4 linked regions of the Drosophila melanogaster genome follow. The protein of the gene in region 3 interacts with the protein of the main gene of each other region in a biochemical or structural test. Each region holds a gene or a part of one and is shown on either strand. Other genes may lie near its edges. The genes, in order: Dek, hry, CkIIalpha and cact.

Evidence for each region.
Region 1: of the proteins of CkIIalpha (region 3) and Dek, one has a biochemical effect on the other in vitro, tested with the Drosophila melanogaster proteins (one study listed by BioGRID).
Region 2: of the proteins of CkIIalpha (region 3) and hry, one has a biochemical effect on the other in vitro, tested with the Drosophila melanogaster proteins (one study listed by BioGRID).
Region 4: of the proteins of CkIIalpha (region 3) and cact, one has a biochemical effect on the other in vitro, tested with the Drosophila melanogaster proteins (one study listed by BioGRID).

The regions. Positions count from the first base shown.
Region 1 is NT_033778.4:16,855,135-16,860,811, reverse strand, and holds Dek (Dek), read right to left. Parts: upstream 4,171-5,677; 5' UTR 4,028-4,170; coding exon 3,760-4,027; intron 3,400-3,759; exon of another isoform or gene 3,234-3,399; intron 3,180-3,233; coding exon 2,698-3,179; intron 2,632-2,697; coding exon 2,211-2,631; intron 2,149-2,210; coding exon 2,048-2,148; intron 1,986-2,047; coding exon 1,812-1,985; intron 1,752-1,811; coding exon 1,563-1,751; intron 1,500-1,562; coding exon 1,415-1,499; intron 1,360-1,414; coding exon 1,238-1,359; coding exon of another isoform or gene 1,223-1,237; intron 1,180-1,222; coding exon 1,027-1,179; intron 963-1,026; coding exon 948-962; 3' UTR 542-947; downstream 1-541. Other genes in the region: Fen1 (flap endonuclease 1), read left to right, coding at 5,474-5,555, 5,618-5,677.
Region 2 is NT_037436.4:8,673,950-8,679,779, reverse strand, and holds hry (hairy), read right to left. Parts: upstream 4,022-5,830; 5' UTR 3,531-4,021; coding exon 3,432-3,530; intron 2,409-3,431; coding exon 2,313-2,408; intron 2,176-2,312; coding exon 1,357-2,175; 3' UTR 527-1,356; downstream 1-526. UniProt on the Drosophila melanogaster protein: Pair-rule protein that regulates embryonic segmentation and adult bristle patterning. Transcriptional repressor of genes that require a bHLH protein for their transcription (e.g. ftz).
Region 3 is NT_037436.4:23,095,276-23,103,073, reverse strand, and holds the start of CkIIalpha (casein kinase IIalpha), read right to left. Parts: upstream 6,003-7,798; 5' UTR 5,600-6,002; intron 5,515-5,599; 5' UTR 5,317-5,514; intron 3,435-5,316; exon of another isoform or gene 3,351-3,434; intron 2,859-3,350; exon of another isoform or gene 2,830-2,858; 5' UTR 2,717-2,829; intron 2,069-2,716; exon of another isoform or gene 1,979-2,068; intron 953-1,978; 5' UTR 823-952; coding exon 1-822. Other genes in the region: RpL10 (ribosomal protein L10), read left to right, coding at 7,777-7,798. UniProt on the Drosophila melanogaster protein: Casein kinases are operationally defined by their preferential utilization of acidic proteins such as caseins as substrates. The alpha chain contains the catalytic site. May participate in Wnt signaling.
Region 4 is NT_033779.5:16,323,205-16,327,931, forward strand, and holds the start of cact (cactus), read right to left. Parts: upstream 3,004-4,727; 5' UTR 2,817-3,003; intron 2,422-2,816; exon of another isoform or gene 2,290-2,421; intron 2,217-2,289; exon of another isoform or gene 1,851-2,216; 5' UTR 1,824-1,850; coding exon 1,129-1,823; intron 314-1,128; coding exon 136-313; intron 1-135. Other genes in the region: CG4278 (uncharacterized protein), read left to right, coding at 3,953-4,727. UniProt on the Drosophila melanogaster protein: Involved in the formation of the dorsoventral pattern. It inhibits nuclear translocation of the dorsal morphogen in the dorsal region of the embryo. Acts as a negative regulator of the NF-kappa-B (rel) signaling pathway.

The sequences.
Region 1 (5,677 bases), on a different chromosome or scaffold from region 3:
TAACATACATCTATTATTACCTTGTAAATATCTAATATTTATAATATTTAACTTTATTCCCTTCCTCATTCCACATTCAATCTTCTGTTTGTTTATTTTTTACTCACAATTTGTTGTGAGCTTGTCTCTAGTTAATAAGCCGAGAAACCTTCCTATCTTCAATCACACTGGGCCCGAGCATTTGTGGTGAACAGCAGGAGTTGGGATGCGATAGAGACATCAAAATCAAAATGGGTTTCAAGGATATATTTTGGGAACAGCAGTTAAACATTTGTATCAGGAGCTCCGCTCAAGTGTGCCTTAAAATTACTCGCCCAAATAATGCATTCTTTTATTACATTAGCCAAAAACTTTTTGTAATCGTGTAAATTTAAAATGGTTTTCCACTTTCGTTTGTTTTTGTACTGCTGCCAGTGTGTGAAATTTCAATATTTCACGCTTTTACAAATTTTTAATTTTGCTTTTTGTTTATTATTTCTTGTGCCTTAAGGTTAAATACATCTTTTCTTGTTAAACGTCAAATCAAAATGCACTACAGTTTAGGTGTTTCTTTTTTATCGGATTTTTACAAGTTTCTCTTTGCTTAATTTACACACTTCGCAGAGCTGTCGTTTGCACATACTTTCAGGAAAATAGAAAATGATGTGCATGCGTGCGCACGGTTGGACAAATAAAAAGTTATATATACAGATGAATATATATAAGAATGGATAGTCGACTGCCGCTGACGTTAGGATTAAGGTGAACTGCAGATAGCTTTTAGGATAGGAGTACAAATCATATACTTATAGGAGACAACTACTTGGAGTTACATTTCGCGAACCATGCCCAACTTCTTTCTGCATCGGCGTACAACGTCCTGACTTTGCTATCGCCTGTTTTGTGTTGTATGTGTACAGAGCCTGGACCCTTCTTCGACTTTAAAGTGGACTTGTCAACGCGTCGTTTTATGTCGCAATTAACTAAGAATTGGGAAATAAATTGAGTTTCAGTAAAACAGAAATTATAAATATGCTTGTAACTTACCGCTTTCACTGTCGCCTTGATGAAGTCTTTCTTGTCTGTTAGGTCAAAGTCTGGATATTTTGCATAAACTTGTTTGCACACGGTTTTCATCGTAATCTCCTCAAGATTGGCTTTATCCAGAATCTCTTTGACATATCCGCGTATTTGTTCATCCTGCAAATAGACGTTCGATGAGGATAACACATTACGATTGCGATTACTGGCTACCAACCGTTGGGAATGCCTGTTTGCCCTTTTTGGTTAGTGGCTCATCCTCGTCGGATTCATCTTTGTCATCGACATCATCATCTTCCTCGGACGATTCCTTCTTTGATTTTTTCGATCGACTATCGGCTGCGGATTACATTAATTGTTATTTCATACGGTTTTCATATTACTTTTAACATACCCTTTCCAGCTGGTTTTGACTTGTTGTTAGCTTTGCTATTTTTCGCAGGCGTAATGGGCTTCTTGCTCTTTTTGGGACGTTCCTCCTGAAAAATTGGCATATACTTGATAAAACACCAAATGCTCGATATTAAATTAAATTTACATACTTCGCTTTGATCGCTGGCAAAATCGGAGACATCCTCCTCCTCTTCATCCTCGGATACCTCCTCATCTTCGCTATCTGAATCTTTACGCTTGCGGGAAGCTGCACCTCGTCCTCTACCCCTTCGTCCAGCTGACGCAGGAGCTGCCGGTCGTCCACGTTTACCCACGGAACCACGTTTACGTTTTGGGACCTGGGGATTTAGTTATTTTTTTTTATATAGGTCACTTGGTCATACGTTTATAATACATACATCACTATCGGCATCGGAAACTTCCGATTCCTCTTCTTCCTCGGAATCAGAGTTTCTTCTGCGACTTTTGCGCGCAGGACGACCGCGTCCACCGCGGCTTGGGACTTTGCGACCTGCTGCACCAGCACCACCACCACGACCACCGTCAGAGTCGGAATTGGCAGAAGGATTGTACTATAAGCAAAACGACAAATGAGCCAAATTGTGCGCATGGTTTCTGGGCGAAGGATACTTACATCTGAGCCCGACTCGGAGTCATCATTTCGTCTCCTTTTGGGAACTGCAACTTTCTGCTCGCTATCGTCAGAGCTGGAGAAATCTACATAGGCGGACATTTCTGAAATTTAAAACGTAAACATGTTTAGATATATACAATACTTTTGATTTAGATGAGCATACTCTTTCCTGCCGTCGCGCGCCTTGGACGTCCGGTGGAATTGCGTGCAGAGCCTCTGCCAGCGCCGCCGCTAGACTTTCCGCTCTTGCGCTTCTTGTCCTCTTCACTGGGCGGGTCCTCCTCATCTTCATCCAGATCCTCGTCCTCGGCATCTTCCTCCTCCTCCTCATCACCCTGCTCCAAGCAAAGCGACTCGTCCGGTTCCATTAGGAATTTGAGCACTCGAAGGACAGTCTCGTTCTTGCTGCCCTTGCGATCGAGGGTAAGGATCTCGCAGATGCTGCGCAGGCCCTTATTATCCACCTTTTTGATGGCCTCCAGCTTTTTGTTGTACTCCGCTGAATCCTTGGCAAACTCGAAACCGGCAAAGGATCGCAAGTTCTTCTTGACCACATTGTTCTTGCCTTGGGCGCCAAAGCAGATCTATAAATGAGGTGTGAAATTAGTTTTTGACAAGTTGTTGGCAAAAATGTTTCTCAGCTAACTTACTGCATGCAATGTTTGCAGACCATCTACACGAGTCTTGTTGATATTCTCATTAATGCGATCAATCTCGGCGAGAGCGACGACATTCTCATCATCCTCGGCCACCTCGTTGTTCTTGTCCAGGCCATCGTTCTCGTCTCCATCGTCATCTTCGGCATCCTCATCATCCTCGTCCTCTTCGTCGTCGTCCTCCTCCTTAGCCACCTTGCCATTCTTGGCCTTGGGCTCAGGTTTCTTGGGCTTATCGGCTCCCGATTTTGGCTTGGACTCATCAGTGGCATCCTTTATCTTGTCCTCTGCATCTAATTTCGGTTTCTTCTTCTCGCTCTCTTCATCGCTAGCTTTCTCATCAGCCTCATCTTCTGGCTCATCGCCGTCTTCCGAGTTCTCCTCGTCCTTTTCGGAGTTGTCCTCCTTTTTAGCATCCTTATTGTTGGACTTCTTTATTACCGGCGAGGGGGATTTCTCCTTTTTGTCCGCTGCAGCTATAATATTAATTGTAATTATTATTATTTGTAAGAGTTCAAATGTAATAAAATAAAAAAGATGTTAAAATAATAAAATGTCTTCAACCTTGGGACGTCCAATGCTAATTTCGTTTGGGAGCGCAAGGGAACATGAATATTGAAGTTTTGCTGTACCTCGGCATTAAACTACGCAGAACCCATTTAAAGGATTTAGCATGAACAAAAGCCAAGGAAGGAAGGAGGAAGGAAAGTTAAGAGAACTCAATCATCAAACTCTAATAATGGTTTTGTAAACATCGACACGGAGGGGGATCGAACCACATGCCAACATCAGCATAGCGCGGTAAACAAGAGAGACACAAGGAGCGACGCTTTAGACCGCAGCGCCACATCGGAACTCTCCCAATAAGTAGACCAAAGCGAACAAGAGGACGAGAGAGGAAAAGAACTTTCCCGAAGAGAGAGCGAAATAGTTCGGCGCGTTTTTTAAAATGCGCGGTAAATTCACTTTGATTTTTGTTTTTCTCTCTCGTTCTTCACACACACAGTTAGTTAGATTGTGTGTTCGCCTGGCTTTGCCTTTTAATTTTTTATTTACCTGCATCCGATTCGGTATTTGAAACAGCCGTTGAGTCTCCTTTGGCTTTTTTATCAGCGACGTCATCAGTGGCGGCAGAGGCAGAGGCGTCGACAGCGGCGGGGGATTCGGCTGCATCTTTGGAGCCCCTTTCCGGCTGTGCCCCCACGGCTTTCGCCACCCCCGCAGTAACCGATGCATTTTCCACATCGCTTACCTTATCGGCGGCATTTTCTTTGGCTGCCGTTTCTGCCGCTTTGTTAGCATCCTTTTCGTGCGGCGATGGCATGGAAAGATACAAAGTCAGAATTGGATTACACTTGCTAATTTTTTGGCGGCCAATACGATGGGTTTCGGTGCGCCTATTTCTTTTTTAATCGAATCGCAATTTGAGTGTGAGTTAGGTCTTCGGCGATTGCGAGTTTGTGTATGCGTGTCTTCTTCGCCGAGCGAGCAAGCGAGTGAGAGAGGGAGCAAGAAATGAGAGAGGCGATAGAAAAAACAACATTGCAAATCTATGAGGCGCACACACACACACTAGTCATCCCGCTCGCACCCACTCGCATCGGCATCTCGAGCCACAACGACGCCATGTTTATACACACAACCGAACGGCGGGAGAGAACCGATAGTCGGGCAGTTAGCCTCGCGGATAATTTGTTGCGCTCTATTTACACACAAAATACGTTAGCAATCCCGCCGTTTTCATTTCACCTCGCTGGCACACACTTTCCGGCGCTTTTTCCCACATTTTTCACCTTTTTACATACCATATTTCTAATGGCTTTTCTGTTTTTCCGTCAGCCGACACACATTCAATCTGCTCACTAGAAGAGGTGTCACAATCGATAGTATTGCAGCCGACAAGCACTAAAAAATACCCGGCAAAATAATGGGTGCCCTTTTCGTTGCTCACTTTTGGCGGGCTTTTTACAAGGGAATTAAGTTGGTATACATGTTCAGTTGTTAATACCATTTTATGATTCTTTATTTTAAAATGCATTTAAATTCTTTCTTGATAGTGTCCAGTCAACTCTATCGCTATTATCCTAAGCTAACCACATTGCTTACCTGTAATTATATTATAATTCATATGTTAGTCTGATCTGAATACAATATTTATATACCCCAATAAAAATATTCAAAAGAAAACTATTTAATTCTGGTATATTTTGATTAACGATAATATTATTCTAATGTATTAGTAACACTGATCTAAATAAAAAAATATTTATATACGTATATTATAATAGTCGAAAGAAATACTTTCTTTTTAAACAAAATGACTGGTATTAACCAGTCCTATATATTTCTGAAATATTTTGCTTTTTAATGAATCGGACTAAATTATATATATATATGCATAAAAAACATATTTGAAGGAGACACTTGCTTTTTAAATGATTTGTTAACCAAAACCATCTAATTTTGGAATATTTTGCAGACCGGTAGTCATATTTTAATTCATCAGTCACGCTGATCTAAATGTTAATATTTATATACGTTCATAAAAATATTCGAAAGAAAATGAAATAAATATGTAAAAACTAACAATTTAGCGAATAAAAAATTTTTTGACGTTCTGGTATTTATGTATTGAAAAGGCGGTCACTCTTGTTGGCAAAAAAGCGCGCGGCGTGTTTTCACAAACAAAACAATTTGATAAACCCCTGGCTATACTTAATATAATCATATATTTAATTAATTACAAGTGTTAAGTTAAAATAAAATCGCCATGGGAATTTTGGGCTTATCTAAGCTCATTGCCGATCTGGCGCCACAGGCGATTCGCGAAAGTGAGATGAAGCATTTTTTCGGTGAGTCCGGTTCTATTTGCTAAATATAAACAAAACTTTAATAGTATGCTCACATTTCAAAGGTCGCAAGGTAGCAATCGATGCTAGTATGTGCCTGTACCAGTTCCTCATCGCCGTGCGCT
Region 2 (5,830 bases), about 14 Mb from region 3:
TGCGCCTTAACTTTTGCTGATCACTTCGATTGGAATAACCAATGATTAAATTGCAAAATATTTTAAAATATTATCGATCAAAGGATTATAATAAGTATTTATTTCGTCACAACTGTTTCGAATTACTGGCCTATCGAACGGATGTGTGAAAATCAAGGCATTCCTATATAATGTTTATGATGCACATATATCTATATCCGTTACGGTCTGGCCACAGAAAAACCTTCAACTCGTCGTGCCGATTATATTAGCAGAAACGGACATAATCGAGCCCCTTAAAACGTAGTTGTATTATCGTCGAAATCCCCGCCGATCCTCTCCAGCAAAATGAATTTCACCATTGGCATTATAATAATTAGCGTCGAAATTTGCTACGATAAGTCGGGGGGCTCGATAAGTTTCCTGTCACTCAAAGCGTTTGACCTCTAAAACAAAAAAAAGAACCATAATGGGACTTTCACCCGAATGAAAAAAAAACCCAGGAAAAGATACCCCAACCACAATAACAAATCCGTTTTGCGTATTTGATTTTTTAGTAGAATCTTTTAAATTTATTTCTTTTTAGTGTGTTGTTTGTTTGTTTTTTCTTTCTTGTTGATTTTTTTGCTTTTGCTTGCATCAAATTCTTGTTTTGTTTTCTTAGAAGCTCATTATGTTCACTATATCACGTGGCCTTACGAATAGATTTGTGTGTTTTATAAATATAATTATTCTTTGATTAGACTTAAGAGCGAGAGAAACCCTAAGCGGCTTAGCTGGCTATGGTACAAAACCTATACTTAAATGGAGATGTACGACTATGTGTAAGAGTTATGCTTTTGCGTTTATCTTTTTCATAAAAAGTATTTCAGCTTTTCAGGTGCTTATTTTCGCATTTTCATTTTCTGTGTTTGGAAGACTTTTGCTGATTTGCTGTTATTCAAAGAGTAATACATGATACATGAGGCAATTCAACACCAAGTACTTGGACTGAGGTAGTTTGGCGATGTCCTGGTAGAATACCGTTCTCTCAAATCGATTACATAATATAATAATAAATAAATTATAACAACGTTTGCGTGTGTGTGTTTGTGTGTGGGTGCGTCTGATGAAGGTCCTTAGCCTCGTCGACGGGTTTCCAGGATATAAGCCAGGAAACTAAGCCAACGAAGTTGTGAACCGAGTTTAGGATTCGCATGTTTGCAACACTTCAAAGCAACATTTGCGCAATCCCGGCGAATGATGTGAAATGTCTACGCGCATGCGCACAACGCCTGCGCATGTGTGCGAGTTGGATGAGTTGTGGGGGGTCAGTCTTAAAAGCGGGAGATTCGATAGGGGTGGCTATGCTATATGATATGCATATGCAGACACCCTCTACCAGGGCCGCCAGGGCTGCTCCTCCTCCTTGATCTGCTTCTTGATCACCAGCGACAGGGGCTGCTGCTCCATTGGCACGCGCTGGATGACCGATGGCTTGATGTCCATGGGCTCGTAGCTAGAGTTGGCCGGACTGGGCGGGGCGTAGCTACAGCTGCTGCTGCTTCCGGGCGCCGACTCGTATCCGGCGGAGGAGTGCGAGCTGGCGGATCCGGTGCTGGCTGTACGCTGGGGCATGCTGACCAACATGGGTTGCTGTTGTGCTGCTGCTGCGGCCGCTGCTGCTGCTGCGACGGCGAGTTGCTGCTGCTGCTGTTGGTGCTGCAGCAACTGTTGCTGCTGCTGCTGGGGCAGGCTCTGGGGCAACACGAGGGCAATGCTACCGTTGGGCAGCTTGGTGGGGATCACCTGCATGCCATTGGGCAGAAAGTAACCGCTGGCCGTCTGCTGGATACCAAAGAGGTAGGGTGCCGCTGCTCCCTGCTGGCTATCCTGCTCCGGCGAGCTGGGCGGCGAGGGCAGCATCTGGGCGTGGATGGACTGCTGTTGCTGCTGGCGCTGCTGCTGGTGCAGCTCTGTCTTAACGCCATTGATGCAGTTGCTCAGGTGCTGTAGCAGGCGACGACGCTGGGCGGGCTCGATGCCGGGAAAGCGGCTAACCTCGTTCACACAGTCGGCGAATCCGGCCTTGAATTTGTTCACAATCTTGGGATCGGCGGCCTGCTGCATGGCTGCCTGCTGGCGCTGCAGCTCCTGCAGATGCTTTACTGTCTTCTCCAGAATGTCGGCCTTTTCCAATTTGGAGTGGCGAGCCGGCTAAAAGTAGAGAGAGAAAATAATTTGGAAATTAGTCAATGATTTAAACTTTTAAAAAATATTTGAGATAATTTCAAATATGTAGTTTTTTTTATTTTATTTGTGGCTTTAAACTTATATTTTTGTCAGATACTTACGTCTTTTTTGGTGGCATCCAGAATCAGAGTCTTGAGTTCATTGAGACAGTTGTTAATACGGGCACGTCGGCGTTTCTCCATGATGGGCTTGTTCGACTGCAAGAGGCAAGAAATGGAAAAAAAAAACATCGATTAGTCACGGCTTTTGCACGGCTAATTTGACCTCATGCAACGACCCAAAAATAGAGGAAGCTGCATGGGTCTTCAATTGGATTGGAGGAGATCAAGGAGGAGGCGGCGTAGGTTGGGGAGCGGATTGACTGGCTGGCGGCCAAATTTAGTCGCACGGCGCGTGCTCTATTTATAGCGCCACTCGGCCGAGGCATTTATTTAAAAATAGTTTGGCGGTTATAAATTACAGGCAGTGGCTATAAATAAACCAACCAGGTATGAGCAAAAATAAAGAGAATGTGACAAGGTCAGAGCGGGAAATTCGAAGATGCCATAACTAGGTACATTATTATCTAGGGAGCACAAGTTGCCAAATTTGGACTCGCATGAAGTCAGTTTTTTTTTTTCTGGCCAACTCATTGAACCGGTGCCGTTCGAATGGCCAAAAACGGCGGCTGATGACCGACAATTGCAGCCACCACGCGACGCACGCGCCAAGTGGCAGCCAAATCCGAATCCGAGTCCGAATCTGGGGAGCTGGTGGGCAGCTACGCCAGCCAATTTTGGGCGGCACTCATGAATGGATGGAGCGTGTGTGTAGTCGGAGTAGTATGCCATATGCCATATAGTAAATGCCACCAACGCGACGCGAGATAAATTCGCTTTGTGTTGGCGCGCCGACGGCAGTTGCGGCCTTTTTTTGGTCTGGCTCAGAGTGTTTTTCTTTTTTCGTATTTTTATTCCCAGCCAGCCATGTGGGAGATGGCTAAAAAGGAAATGCATTTGGGCAGCGGGATTGATGGGGCCAGTCGCCCACAGTCGCGAATGGAAATCAACTTGAGCTCGAAGTGGGTGGCTCTCAATTAGGGGAATTCTCGGTTTGGTTCGCTTCAGTTAATCCACAGATTTCGGGGAACTAGAGGTTCTGATTTAATCCATTGACGGGGTTTTTTGTTTTTGGCTTTGGATTTTTTTTTTCGAGTCTTATTTTTCTCGAAAGAAACTTACCCGACGGTCACTTTTGAGCGGCGTCTCCTTGAGCTGGGCCGGCACAACGGCGGTGCCCAGAACGTTGGTCATGTTGGCTGCTGTTACGCCGGTAACCATTTCGGTCAGATATTGTTTGTTGAGTTTGAGGCACAGTTTGGTTTTCACTTGGCAGCAAATCTGAATTTGCTGCTCTTTGCAATATAAGTTCACTGCTTTTTTGCTTTTTTTAGAATAACTCAAGTTGTCAGTTTTTTTTTTTTTCAAGTTCACTTGGTGGTTTCACTTTCGCGCAGCGTCGCAGAGAAGCACGTAAAATGGTATTGTGTCTGGGGGGGTTCTCTAGATTTCGATTCGGTTTATCAAAGCGGAGCGATAGAACCGCACGCTACGAAATACGGCAGGCGAATGAGCAGCAGGTTCTGGCTGCAGTGCGATTAAAAGACCGAAACGACTCGGCACGAAGCAGAAGATCGATCGTTCGGCTTTCGGATGGTTGCGCTATATATATGTATGTATATATATATATAAGTATTTGCTTTACTGCGTCTGGATGTTGCGGAGCGTAGCGGGACTACCTTATCGCTGGGCTCTCGGCGGAAGACTGACGATTGATCGACAGGTTCGTAGGCTAAATCGCCGCTGCGAGACGCGAGCGCGAGCCACACGACCGCACCAATACAATTGCACTGGCATTGCGGCTACCTAGGGGTATACATTATGCGCTACCTGCTCGCTTCAGTGTGTGTGTGTGTGTGTGCGTGCTCACGCTTGTGAGCGGTACCTAAAGTACACACCGCGTTACTCATACGCCCCCGTGGCTCGCGGGAATGGGCATTTCTTCCTTTTTGGAAATCACACTGCGAAACCCCCATTGGTGATCGTCGGTCGGTCGGTCGATCAGCGATCGGTTTGGCTTGACTCTGCTGGGCTCTGCTAACTGAGGGATTCACAAGAGGCTGTGTTTCTGGCTGTGCTGTTGGTGATGGTCGCGGTGGTGTTGGTGTTGTTGCTGCTTCTGCGGTGGTTTCTGGTGGCTCGCCGTTCGTGGTTTGCTGATTCATGCGGCCAACGCGACGACGTCCCATAGAAGGTGAAAATAGCTGGCTATATGACGCCACCCCAGTGCGACAGGTTCGGTTTTTTGTGCTGTGTACTGTGTATCTGCGGCTCGGGGGTCGCTAAACAGTAAACAAGATCACAAGGTTGTGCGCACGCTAGGCGGAAGTGGGTGGTTGGGTGGTTGGGTGGTTGGGCGATCGGGCAGTGGGTGGTGGCTATAGTTATCCCCCTAGCATTTTCCAGACCAGTCTGTACAACCGACTCATTCAGCATGCCGTACGCCTCAATTAAGTGAAGGTCGCCCTTTTGGCTTTTGATCGATAGCCGCCAACGGGCTAAATGAAATGGAAATCGCTGTGGACAAGGCTGCGTGGATCACACGTGCTCCGCCGGACGCTTAGATTCAGCTTGATGGCTTCTACGTGCAGCGTTGGATTTTCACGTTTTTCATATATTATTTGTTGTTTTGTTTTGGAGTAATGATTTATCGAAGGTTGACTATAATTACGCGACACGCGGAATAGTCGGGCATCAGAAAACTAACCATTCATTAGCAGAATGAGAAGAGGGGCATTGCAGTGAAAACTGGGAATATTACAGTGAAAATGAAGCTTAAATTATATTGTTTATTTGGTAGTAAAAAGCCAAAGTGCGTCACACACATTTCGTTACAACCGAAAGTGATATTTTAAATAACTGCTTAAGCCATCTATTATTTACAAAATATGGGTTAAGTTTTAAGAAATGGTAATAACCATGTAATTAGTTTAACCAGGCTGAGCTCAGTAAAGGTAGATGACACATATTTAGGTTACACGATCTATAAAAGGAAATTACGTTATCTTTGACGTTTGTTCTTGGGAAATATTTTTAAAGCCTGACTTGGACTCTGACCACTGATTAGTGAAGTTATACCAAAACCACGAATCGTCAACAAAGTTACATTGGAATGAGTCAGTCAGGCTTTAAACATTCAAGTTGGCTAAAAACGGGTGTTTACAATATTTTTTTTATAGCGAAACCACCTGGCAGTGTTTTTATAGAAACTAATAAAGTTGACTCTAATGAAGATGAGTAAAAAAACGTTTAGAAGTTAATTTGATTTTACTACACTTAATTTCTGCTTAATAATTAAATGAAATTGAACTTAATCAACAATCACGTCTTACAAATATGCATATCTATCGATTCGTGAAAATACTCAAAAAGTTTGGGGAATTTCTGACATTTTTGACGGTTGTCTAAAGTGTTGTGCGTTTTGTGGTCGCCAGAGAAGGTTGTTATGCCGAGAACACATGCCCCAACAATATGGATACATATATATATAGACGGTAGTGGCGGACGTCGACAACACCTTC
Region 3 (7,798 bases):
GTGACGCTGTAGAATGTCGTGAAATCTTGGATCGAGGTCAATATTGTATTTATCCAAATATGCGTAGAGTTCTTCGGTGCCCAGCACCTTGGCAATGCGTACCAATTGATCATAGTTATCATGTCCGTGGAAAAATGGCTCTTTTCGGAATATCATCGACGCCAACATACAACCTAGTGACCACATATCCAGTGAGTAATCATACATCTGGTAATCTACCAGTAATTCGGGACCTTTAAAGTATCTCGAAGCCACACGAACATTATATTCTTGACCAGGATGGTAAAATTCGGCAAGTCCCCAATCTATAAGGCGCAATTTTCGATTTTCGTGATCTATCATAACATTGTGGGGCTTTACATCACGATGCATTATTCCCATGCTGTGGCAGTAGTCAAGTGCCTTAAGAAGCTCAAACAAGTAGTAACGAATCTCATAATCAGTTAATGTTTGGTAAAGTTGCTTGAAATCTGTGTTGTTGACGTGCTCAAAAATCAACGCTGGTGTTCGAGAAACTGGGTCCTTGACAACGGCTAAAAGTGTTATTATATTAGTTCCTCCACGCAAGTTCTCCAAAATTTTGATTTCACGCTTTATCTTCTTTTTTTTAACAGGTTTCAGAATTTTAACAACGCACTTTTCCGTGGTCGTAATATTAATGGCCTCGAAGACCTCAGAATACTTTCCACGGCCTAATTTACGGACCAACTGATAATCGTCTTGATTGCCCCAATCAACCACATAATTTTCATAGTCCCAATATTCATCCGGTTTGTGCGCATTGACATCTGTGTACACGCGAGCCGCACTAGGAAGTGTCATTTTTCTCAACAAAACGTTCCTTTCTGCCTCCTTGTTAAAATTTTTTTCGGGTTGTAGCAGTAAGTTTATGTGAGCTGATTCCGTTCTCAGTCGGTTGGTGGTCCTAACAATATTATTATTGTACAACAATCTGAAAGTAAAACGAAAACGTATTTAATCAGAAGCAATCGGAAACACATGTCTACACCTCTTCATAGCATAACACATTTCCGAAACAGCTTAAATATCGTTATATCAGTAACGCAAAATGCCAAATTTTAATCGTCTTAACATAGAAAGAAAATTGAGTAATAATAAACAAAATCAACTGTAACCACTAACATTATTCGAGGTAAATGAAGTTTTACAAATGTTACAAATTTCTTTCTGCATATGCAATTTCATTTGCAAAATCATTTGTAGGTTATTGTACTTCCGTCATCTAGCAGCTCTGCAACTCTCCAAACGAAAACAAAACAAAGTTCTTTCGCTCGAAATGTTGATCTAAAGATAATGAGACTTTCCACCTTCAAACGCGATAATTGTATCTAAAACTTTGTTTAAATTAATAATTTAGATAAATGATATATATATGATATGCTGGATCAGATGCGTACCAAAGAAGCAAGAAGAAAAATAATCAATATATTACTAATATTTATAAATTTGTCTCAAAAAGTAGCCTAGCAAAACCGAGTCGTCTTTATTTTTCAAATGGATACAACCGTTAGCGTGAAGTGCAAAAAAATAAATAACACTCGGAGTTCTGTGTCACGGTTTATAATTTTTTAATCCATTCCAAAACCTGTCCAACTTCACCTATAGTTTTTGTGGAACCCCTGATATTTTCGATCAGGATTATTCCTTATTCCTACGTACTTAAGAACGCCTAGTTCTCGGTAACTATGGATGCTAGAACGTTAAGATGAACAAGGTTTTATGAGTTGTTAAAATTCCGAATATATGCAGATATCGTTCACGCATTCACCGAGTTGAGAAGAATCACACAACGGTGATTGTAATCAAAGTGTAACACGAGTCAAATAAATAAATGTTTGAAGGTTTTTTAGCAACAAAAACACCCACTTTCGGATTCATGAAGACTTAAGTTGTGTTTAGTGGAAAAGCTATTTCGATAAATATTATAACTTTAGATGATCACCAAAAATTGTACTACCTTTTTTCACTTGTTGTCTTGTTTTAAAGTCCCGACTGCAGAGGAATTAAGTGTCCTTTTGCAATTGATAATATCAAACTAAAATACATCGAGTTAAAAAAAATTTTTTACGATCGTATTACGAACGATTTTTCATATGTTCCTGATTTTAAACTTTGGCACGAAAACGTATTTTACATTTGACTACAAAATTCACTTATTTGGCAAGACTCTAGGGCTATTATGGCAATTATTATTTTGATATATCGTGCCCATAAGTCAATTAAAGAATAATAATAATTTATTGGAAAGTAATTTATTATTCTTGACAAAAGTTGAAATTAAACACCTTGTATGTTGCAGTTGCGAGCGTTGATGGCTCTTTACCTCGATACGTGGTGTTTTTGTTTGAAAGACTTTTACCCTAATTCTATAATCAGCTAAAAGTCTGTCTTACGATTATTATAAATGTTTTAATTAAAATAATTTAGGAAGAATGTATTATATTAAAAAGCTGCAAAACAAATAATGTAAGAAGTACAAACATGTGGGTTTCTTAATCGTGTGCACTTAATTAATATTTTTCAGCATGAATTTATTAAGTTATAGAGCAACCAAAAGAGTTTAATCGATGGTTTGCGCCGCGCTTGCAAAAAGGCGGTTCTTGCAGACATACATATTTTCCACGCAAATACTGTTGGAATTCAGTGGAATTCAATCAATGCACGTGCCTAAGTATAAATATGGATAAAAACGTACCCAATTTTTGAAGATTGATTGTTATAAGCTGGCTTGCCAAAGTATTTTAAAAGATTTCTCCGTCTCGTATGATATCCACAGTGTATGCCGGGTATGTTCCTCACAGTTTTGCACTAATTTATATAATAAGCAGGTATACTAATGAAAATAAATTTTAAATTTGCTTTTATATAAATACTTAGATATTTATTAATACATATATTATGCGAAATCATTTACATAAATAAACCCTTGGTATATACAAAAGTGTATATAAAATATATGTGCATACATAAATCCATGTGTATGCAATGTTATATTTCAATGAATACATTCGCTACTGAACAAATTATTAGTAAAAACGAGTACATACGCCAATGTTAAAAATACACACGAATATCATAATGACAACCACTCTAAAATTCAGAAAAAACTTTAGACGAGTTCACCGGCTTCATGACGGCATGATTCAGAATGGCCCCATATGTACCTATTTATGTACATGCATAAAAAATTTCAAAGACTTTCCACAACATATATACAATTATTGATATATTTCACTGATTTCATGCTCTTGAGAAAATACGCTGTAACGCAAAATCCGCATATACATGTTAATTTAATGCCATTTAATGACAAGAGTAATAATACTCACGTCTTAGTAAAAAAAAAACCAGTGTACGTGGTTACGGAGAAAATTTTTCATATTTTAAGAAGGTTAGCTTAACCGCCGTCTATTTTACTGCATAACAAAACAGTAGGTAGTCAAGATAGATCAAAAAATCATCCTTATGTCAGAAACGATGGAAGTGAAACTGATCCAGCTATTTTATAAAATTAGTTAGGAATTTATTTAGGGTCTATTATTATTTTATTTCTGTCGGGGAAACACTGATAGATTACATTTGTTTATAAAAACAATAACATACGATTATTGAAATCTGTGGTTAGAATTATAGAATATATACAGTTTGTCAAGAAACTGTTTACACACTGTAAAATAAGTTGAATTTTTGACTTTAAAGCTAAAAATTAAGGGTTTTTTTTCTTAATTAAACGCATTTTTTTTTATAAAATATAATTAAACAATATTTATTTTACTTATAAATCAAAAAACAAATTAAAAATATTAAATATACAAGAAAATAAACAACAAATTCCAAGTTTACACACTTTTGAGACTGTCAAGAAACTCTTTACACATTTTGTTTTCCTACTTTGTTTTGTTCTTTTTCTTAGAACGAACTCGATTTTTCCGTTATTTTTGGCTTTGCATTGCTTTTTACAACGCTTCTATTGAAATTTGTTGACTTTGCTTGTTAAATTTTGCTGATCAAACGTGCTTAAAGCGAATTATTAAATTTAATAAAATGCCTGGAAAGAGATTAACTTTTGAAGTTACCCAATTAATAAACTATAACCACCAGTTGGGAAAATCTTTTCCAGAATTAGTATAAATGTTTCCTGTATCCCGTAAGACCGTCTACAATGTTTTAAAAGGCTCGGAAAAAGAGGGCAGGCTTGAACCTAAGAGTGGTGGTGGGCGGAAAATTAATATTAAAAAGCGTGTAGACCGCTTTATTATGCGAATAGTGATTGCGAACCCCCGAATCTCGGTCAGAGCACTTGCTCTGGATATCAGGCAAGAATGTCACCTAACTGTGTCACACGAAACTGTGCGCCAAGTCATCCTACGCCATAGGTACTCTTCAAGAGTTGCAAGGAAAAACCCTTTGCTATCAGATGCCAATATTGAAAAGCGTCGATCATTCGCTGTGAGCATGATGGATCATGCGGAAGAGTACTGGGATGACGTCATATTTTGTGACGAAACAAATATGATGCTCTTTTATAACGACGGGCCAAGCAGAGTATGGCGCAAACCGTTGAGTGCGCTAGAAAAACAAAATACCATTCTAACGATAAAATTTGGAAAAATGTCACTAATGGTTTGGGGCTGTATCACCAGCCGTGGAGTGGGAAAACTAGCCTTAATTGAGAGCACAATAAATGCCGTGCAATATCTAGGAATTTTAAAAAACAAATTTGAAGGCCAGTGCAGAAAAATTTGGTCTAGTTAGCAACAACAAGCCAAATTTTATATTTTAAGAGGACATGATCAGAAACATAAAGAGTGCAATGTACGCACCTGGCGCCCTTATAACTGTGGTAAAGTGATCGATACGCCCCCTCAGAGTCCTGATCTGAACCCCATTGAAAATTTGTGGACCTACTTAACGAAGAAGGTGGCAAAAAGGGACCTAAAACACAACAACAGCGTATGACTGTAATAGTCGAAGATTGTGAAAAGATCCCGTTTGAATATGACCTGCAAAAACTTGTCCAATCCATGAAAAAAAGGCTTCAACTTGTAGCTAAAGCCAATGGGGAACATACTACATACCAAAACTTTTAAAATTTTAATAAAATAATTTAAAAATTTAGGATTAAACTAAATAAATTAAACAAAACACTAAATGTGTTTTGTGTAAAGAGTTCACAGTGTGTAAACAGTTTTTTGACAAACTGTATATATATTCTATATATATTATAGAATTATTATATTATATTATATTATATTATATATATCAATACTCTGATTTCGGTGCAAATATGCTTACCACGTGCCATCGTTGCTGAACTTTGACTGATCTGCAGTAATTTTAAACTTATTTTGTTCTGCATTTTGTTTTACTTTGCAGATTATACCAAGATAGTTTTTCCGTTGTTCTTCTGTTCAGATAACGGTAAGCTTGAAAATCCCAGTCGGAAGTACGGAAGGTATCAAAGGAAATAAGTATTACTAAGTGCTTCTTTTTCTGCATAACAACAACAAAAAATTACGATCTTGACGATTAAGAATTGGAAATGCAACTGGACAGAAACGTAATAAATAAACCACACCTTTTCGCCCTTCTCTGTCTGCTTCTATTGTTTTCGTCATTTTCTTATTGTGAGTACGGTTAGTTTAAATTCTTCGTGTCCTTTTTACTATGGCGATCAAAAATATTACTTCAGTGAAAGAAAATGTACATACAGTTTGTCAAGAAATTGTTTGCACAATGAAAATAAATTGTATATTTGACTTTCAATGCAAAAATATAAAGGCCTTTTATTAAAAGGCATGAATTTATTTTTATTGATAACTATTTATTTATATGTTTTTTATCAATATGTGAAAAAAAAATAACAAAACTATTGACAATGAACAAGAAAAACAACTGAAACCAAGTTTGCATAGATTTGACACTGTCAAGGAATTCTTTTGTTTTCAATTTTGCTCCTATTCCGAGAAATTTCGATAACTAAACGGTACAGAATCGTCATTTACATATTTCTTTATACTCGTTGCATTTGGTTGAGAAAGTGAAGTGATCTTTGCTCCAGTTAGTTTTGAGAAATTTAGAAATGCCTGGCAGAAGATTGAGTTTATAATCACCATTTGGGAAAATCTGTCACGGAATTGTCAGAAATGTTTTCTGCATCGCGGGGAACAATTTATAACGTAATTAATCGCACAAAAACGAGGGCAGATTGGAATCAAAATGTGGAACAGGACGTAAAAATAAAATTTCCAACCGTTCAAACCGAGTTACTATGCGAAAAATTTATGAAAATCCGCAAATATCTTTAAGAACTGTTGCTAATTAGCTTAAGGAGGGCTGCGATCTGGATGTGTGACACGAAACAGTGCGCCAAGCCATACTCCGTCATAAGTACCACTCACGGGTAGCAAGAAAAAAACCGATGCTGCCGACAATTAACATCGAAAAGCGGCTTACTTTCGCTATCGAAATGCAACATCAGCCAGAAGATTACTGGAATAACGTAATTTTCTGCGACGAAACCAAGATGATGTGTTATACGACGATGGACCCAACAGAATGTGGCGTAAGGCGCTAACTGCGCTGGAGAACCGCAACCGTCAAGTTTAGCAAAATGTCGGTTATGATTTGGGTATGCATCTAGTCGAGGAGTTCGAGATTTGGCATTCATATTGATCACAATGAAAGCAGAGCATTATTTAAACATTTGAAATGCAATCTGACATCCAGCGCCATTTGGTTTTTATAAGAACAATAGACCTGATTTCAAATTCACAAAGTGAATTAGTCGATAGGCCAATTGGAAGAGACTACTATTACTGTCTGTTTTCTGTCTGTCTGTAAATTACAGAAAAATTAATAAAAAATCTTTGATATCCAATTCTGTAAGCTGCCTTCGAAATGTTCAGTTAAAAGACTAGACCATTCCAGCCTTTTGCCGATTATGTTACTACGTAAAATATCTGGTGTGCCTCAGAAAATACTCTCATTCCTACTTTGGATATCCAAAACGAGATTGGCCACCTAGTCTGATTCGGATTATCTGAGTTTGGGTCTATAATAAATGAAGCAATACAATTGTAAGCTCAATGTTTCTGCTGCTTATAACATATAAATCTTTGTAACTTTATTCTAGGATAGTAACAACTCTTAGCGGTCCGTTCGAAATGACTGCTGAAAATGGCTAAAATACAAAACCATGAAGTGTAATATATATAATGTGAATTTTTGTAAATGTTACTGTTATATTTATCTGCCCGAATACCAATGACTTAGTTATGATAAGCACAAATCTGGGTTGAAAAACATAAGGTGTGCTTATGGTTGAGGTAAGATTCTAATTTACTTATTTAGTTGTAGTTTTTTAGCTTTGACGTTTAATCGCCAAAAATATTTTTTATTCCAATAAAAATGTATCGAAGAACACGAACACATACATATTTTACAGTATGTAGATTTTAGTGAGAACAACATATAAAGCAATTCAGTTTTGATTTCAAATTGTTTCAAAACAAAGGAAAACACTTATCTCAAGTACATGATTATCGGTTTGCGACGAAACCTTTTGTGCTTCCGGTGTTCGTGTCTTCCTTTTCTCGTGTGCTTCGTTGGAAGAGGTTAGTGAGCGGTAAATGATCTTTGGAAATCTAATATGTTTCATGTTTATAGAAGTTTATATTATCTTACCAAGTTTCTGTTTTGTGCTGTGATGTTAGCATATATTTTATTTATTTGTTTTATTTTTCAGGAGTCGAAATGGGCCGACGACCAGCTAGAT
Region 4 (4,727 bases), on a different chromosome or scaffold from region 3:
AATATAAATACTTAAATTAGCTTTTGTTAGAAAATCAAGATGATATGACATTACATTCGTCAATAGGGGATTAAGCTAGATTTTACAAATATGCAAATATCTAAATCTTCTTATTCGATCTTTGTTGAATATTACCTCAGCTCCGGCGAGTAAAAGTATCCTCATGATGTTCGGCTGGGCAGTAAGAGCGGCCAGATGAAGGGGTGTCTGGGCCACATCGTTCTGGATGTTGAGCAGGCACGGATGAGGAGCCATGCGAATCAGGGCGGCCACCACGTCCACTGATCCCGAAATACAGGCCAGGTGCAAAGGTCTGAAATGAGAGAGAGAGAGCAAAAAAAACAACATGAATTTGTGGGTTTCTTTTACCTGGCGATCGAACACCCGCACTTTCTTTCCTTCCTGTACACTTGTCGCCGTTCATGTGGCGGCGTAAAAACCCAAGTAAGTTAAGTAGAGGTAAAGTAATGTGAAGAAAGAAGAGGTGCCCCGAAAAACCTGTTCCCGTACCTGCCCACATACCAGGAAAACCCCAAAGCCTGACTAAAACACATGTGTCAGTCGCGTTTCTCGCCTCAGACAATCGTCTTTGAGTGATTCACGAAACTCTCCCCTTAGCTCGCTTGGTGGTCATCAGTGCAACGCGGCGTTGTCTTTGTTATTTTGGGAAATTTTAGGATTCTCATCGGAAATACGGCACGTATAAGTTCATAGAAATTCGGAAATGATTCAAAGACTGTGCTTATAAATCTTTAATCGTGAATTGTCAATGAGTATGTTAAATTGATTTTTAAGAGCATGAAGACCTAAATTCTAATAAAGATTTTTTTTTGGCGATTGTGACAGTCTAAATATAATCAATCGTTTCCAATTTCAAAAAATACCGTCCAATTGTATAAAATATTTAAAATATAAAGTTCTTATGATTGCTAGTCTAAGAATAAGCATGGGAAAGTTTTTAAAGTGACCTAGAGATAAGGCGCTAAAATGTTTAAATCATACTTGGGAATTTCCCCACATTAAAAATACACATTCGAAGTTATCTATAAATGTGGTTTGCACATATATAAATAATTTGAAAGTCTAGAATAAAGTGACATTTCCTGAGATTCTATAATGTTTACTTACGTGTCGCCGTCGTCGTTTTGTTGATAGAACTGCTCCCAGGCGTTCATGATATTAATGCTGCTGGGCGGAGCGGATGATGTTGCTCCCGATCCCGAAGGATTCGCGTTCGCCGTGCTGGCTGTGGAGGATTGAACCTTGCTGCGACCGGTGATTTGGGTGCTGCTGCTCTGGCCGAGATTGTTAAGCTGTTCGCCGCGACTGACCAAATGGCTTTCGACGGTCCATTGTGGGATGCCTGTGTCCGCGCTGTGTTTGAGTCGCATTGAATCGGCGGTGGCAGTGGTGGTGTCCTGGTGCTCCTCCTCTTTCTCCTGCTCCTCCTGATCCTCTTCTTCGTCGATAATACCGGAATCGAGGACAACGGGCTGTTCCTTTTGGGGTGCCGACTCCTGCTGATCCTTATCCTGTTCCTCGCTATCGGGGACTATCTCCTCGCTGAAGATCTGCGAGGATTGCGGGCCGGAGATGAAGCCCGAATCACTGGTTTCGTTTGGCACGGCAAATTCCTTTTGCTTGTTAATGGCGGCCGTTTGATCTTGTGTTTTGCCGCCAATTTTACCGCTAGTGGCTAGTGAGGACGAGGGGTTAGCCGCGTTTGAGGGGGCGCGCTGCTCAACACTGGCAGCGCTGCAGCTGCAGTCACTTGTTGCTGTTGCCTTTGTTGCTGCCTCCGCTGCTTTTGTTGGGCTCGGCATTTTCGTGCTTTTCCTCTCTCAGTTGGGCTAAAATATATGTATATATGTTATATATATACTCCTGTCGTTTTGAACTTTGCTTTTGAGCCCAGTCTCTCAAACACACACACATACACACGCACAGTAAGCGCTCACCTCGGTGGTGCGAGTGAAACAAACATATAGGCTCCAGCGAACAAGTGAAAACGCAATAATTTTTGTAGATTAAAGGCAATTTATGGACTTATGTACAAGTGTAGCCGCAGAAAAATAAAAATTACGGTTTCACACTGGTTGAAAATTTTAGATTTTTCCATTTGCCAATGTCTTATTTGCCTCTTCACGGTTGTTTCACCCGCACACACCCACAATCACACTGAGGTAGATTTTTTATCTCCCTTTTCACACAGCTTCCTTTTCGCTTTTTATTTTCTGCACATGTTCTGGGTTTAAACCCCAGCACTATTTTCTATGGATTTCTCACTACCTTGCTGGTTAATTGTCTTGCGAAGCTGTCTTTAAAACGCGTATTTATGGTTTAAATGTTTGTAATCTGCAATTCGCATAGTACCCGGACGCACGTCTGCTTTCTTTCACGTTTCGATAGCGAATGAAATTGAGGGAGCGCGCTGATATGTATATATTTATATGGCAGTCTATACTATAAAGCCCCGTTTGCACTAAGAGTTATCACGAAATGAAGAGTCTCGATTTTAAATTTTCTTTACTTAGAAAACTGTTAATTGAAAAAAATCTATTTTTTCATATTTGCCCAAAAAAAATAAAATTCTAGACTTGAAAAGACCGAAGTGAAAACGTTTGCCTTAATATATCGACGATGGAGTGTGTAATCGGGGCTTAAATCAGTTTTACATGTGTGCGAGGGAGACCATAGGGTTGCCAGATAGTAGGGAGAGCGCCAAGTTAAAATCTCCCAACAACAAAATGAGCAGCTAAATGGTCAGCTGCAACAAAAGCAACCACAGCAGCGATGCGTTTATTTATACTTCTTACTCTCTGATTGTGTGATTGTTTAGTTCCTCGAGCGAAGCCACTTGATGTTGATGCTCGGCGTCCTACGGTTGAAATGCGTATGACGGCGAGGCGGACAAATATCTGGGAAATCACCCGCTGACCGAGAACGGAAATGAAATGCAGGATTCTTTCTTCGGTTTTTCACAGGTCAGCTTCGATTGAAACCTCGACCAATTCTGAATTTCATGGGATATTCTGAGCGACCGATTTGTCATACACTCTCCTTCTGGGATTTTTTAACACTCAATCACATTTTATCGCCAATTCATGAAATATTATATATACGATTATTTTGGTTTTTACAAGGTTGTATTGATTAAAAAATTATCTGAATCCAAGAAATTTAGAGGGGCTTTACAAGATTATCAGATTCTTACCATAAAACCTGTGTTTACGGTCACAAGTAGTTTCGAAAGTTTTTGCTCGCTTTTTTAATTTAAAATTTAAAATTCCGCCTCTCGTAGTTGTAAAGTTATTTATTATAACAAATAGGTTATTAAAAAATCGGACTTGTTTCCTAAAATTTTGATTAAATTGCTGGGAATTTGTAAATTACTCTTCAGTTTTAGGGGTTTGGTCATTTCCTTGTCGGGTTTTGCTTTTTGCTTTTGTATGACTTAATTAAATTATTCTTTAAAATTTAAATTCTTCGGCTTCCGATTGAATTTCTTGAATTATTATTTATCAGGCGTTCGTTTTTCTATTAAAAACAAGTGTTTGGTGCCAATCTGATAAATTTATTAAGGTATATAAACTTTTTAAATATTTTGTTAATTTCTAATTATTTGTTTGCTATAACATAAACTTTTATCGTTTTATTAAAACTGTTTTGCTATTCTCGTTATTATAAAATCCAAATATTCATTAAATGTTTTTCTAACAAAATTACGCAACAAAAATGTGACCTGCTAATAAAATTATAGTAGTGTTTTTTAATGTTTATTAATATTAACCAATTACTTTATCGCCCAATTTAAAAATTGCGGGTGATAACAGATGATTTTAAGAGCAGGTAAAACAACAAAAATTAAGTTGGCAGCACTTACCGGCCAATAAGTCAATTGCACAAAATCTTAAACGCAGGACCAGAAATATTTTGCAAAGGACGTCAAGGAATGCTGAGAAGGATGAACACTTTTAGTGGTCAAAAGCTGGCGGCTGTGGTCAAGGAGCTGGAGAACTTTGCTCCGACTTCTTGGGCAGAGAAGTGGGACAATGTGGGACTCCTGATCGAACCGCACCGCGAAAAACAAATCAAGAAAATACTATTAACTAACGATTTAACCGAGCCCGTAGTGAAAGAAGCGCTAGAGAAGGAGGCGGAGCTCATAATCAGCTATCATCCGCCAATTTTCAAGCCCCTGACCAGGATTACGCAGTCACATTGGAAGGAGCGCGTGGTGGCAGCATGCTTGGCCAACGATATAGCCTTGTACTCGCCCCACACGGCGTGGGATAAGAAGAGTGGTGGCGTCAACGACTGGCTATCTAAGGCAGTGAATATCATCAGCATCCGCCCTCTGGAACCGGAGTTGGGTGCTCCTCCGGGTACCGGATCCGGTAGATATATAGAAACCAAAATGGAGCTTTCCCAGGTGGTGGAGTCTCTGCAAAAGCGCATTAGAAACAGCGTGCACGTTGCTCTAGCTGTGGGCCACACCCCCAAGACACTCATCCAATCCGTCGGCATTTGTGCCGGCTCTGGAGCATCTCTGCTGAAGGGTATCCAAGCGGATCTTATCATTACCGGCGAAATGTCCCATCACGAAGTTCTGGAGTTTACTCACAACAATACCACCGTTCTTCTCTGCAATCATAGTAATTCAGAAAGGGGTTTTCTCCATGAGTTTTGCCCTATATTGGCCAAATCTTTAAATGAAGAATGCCTGG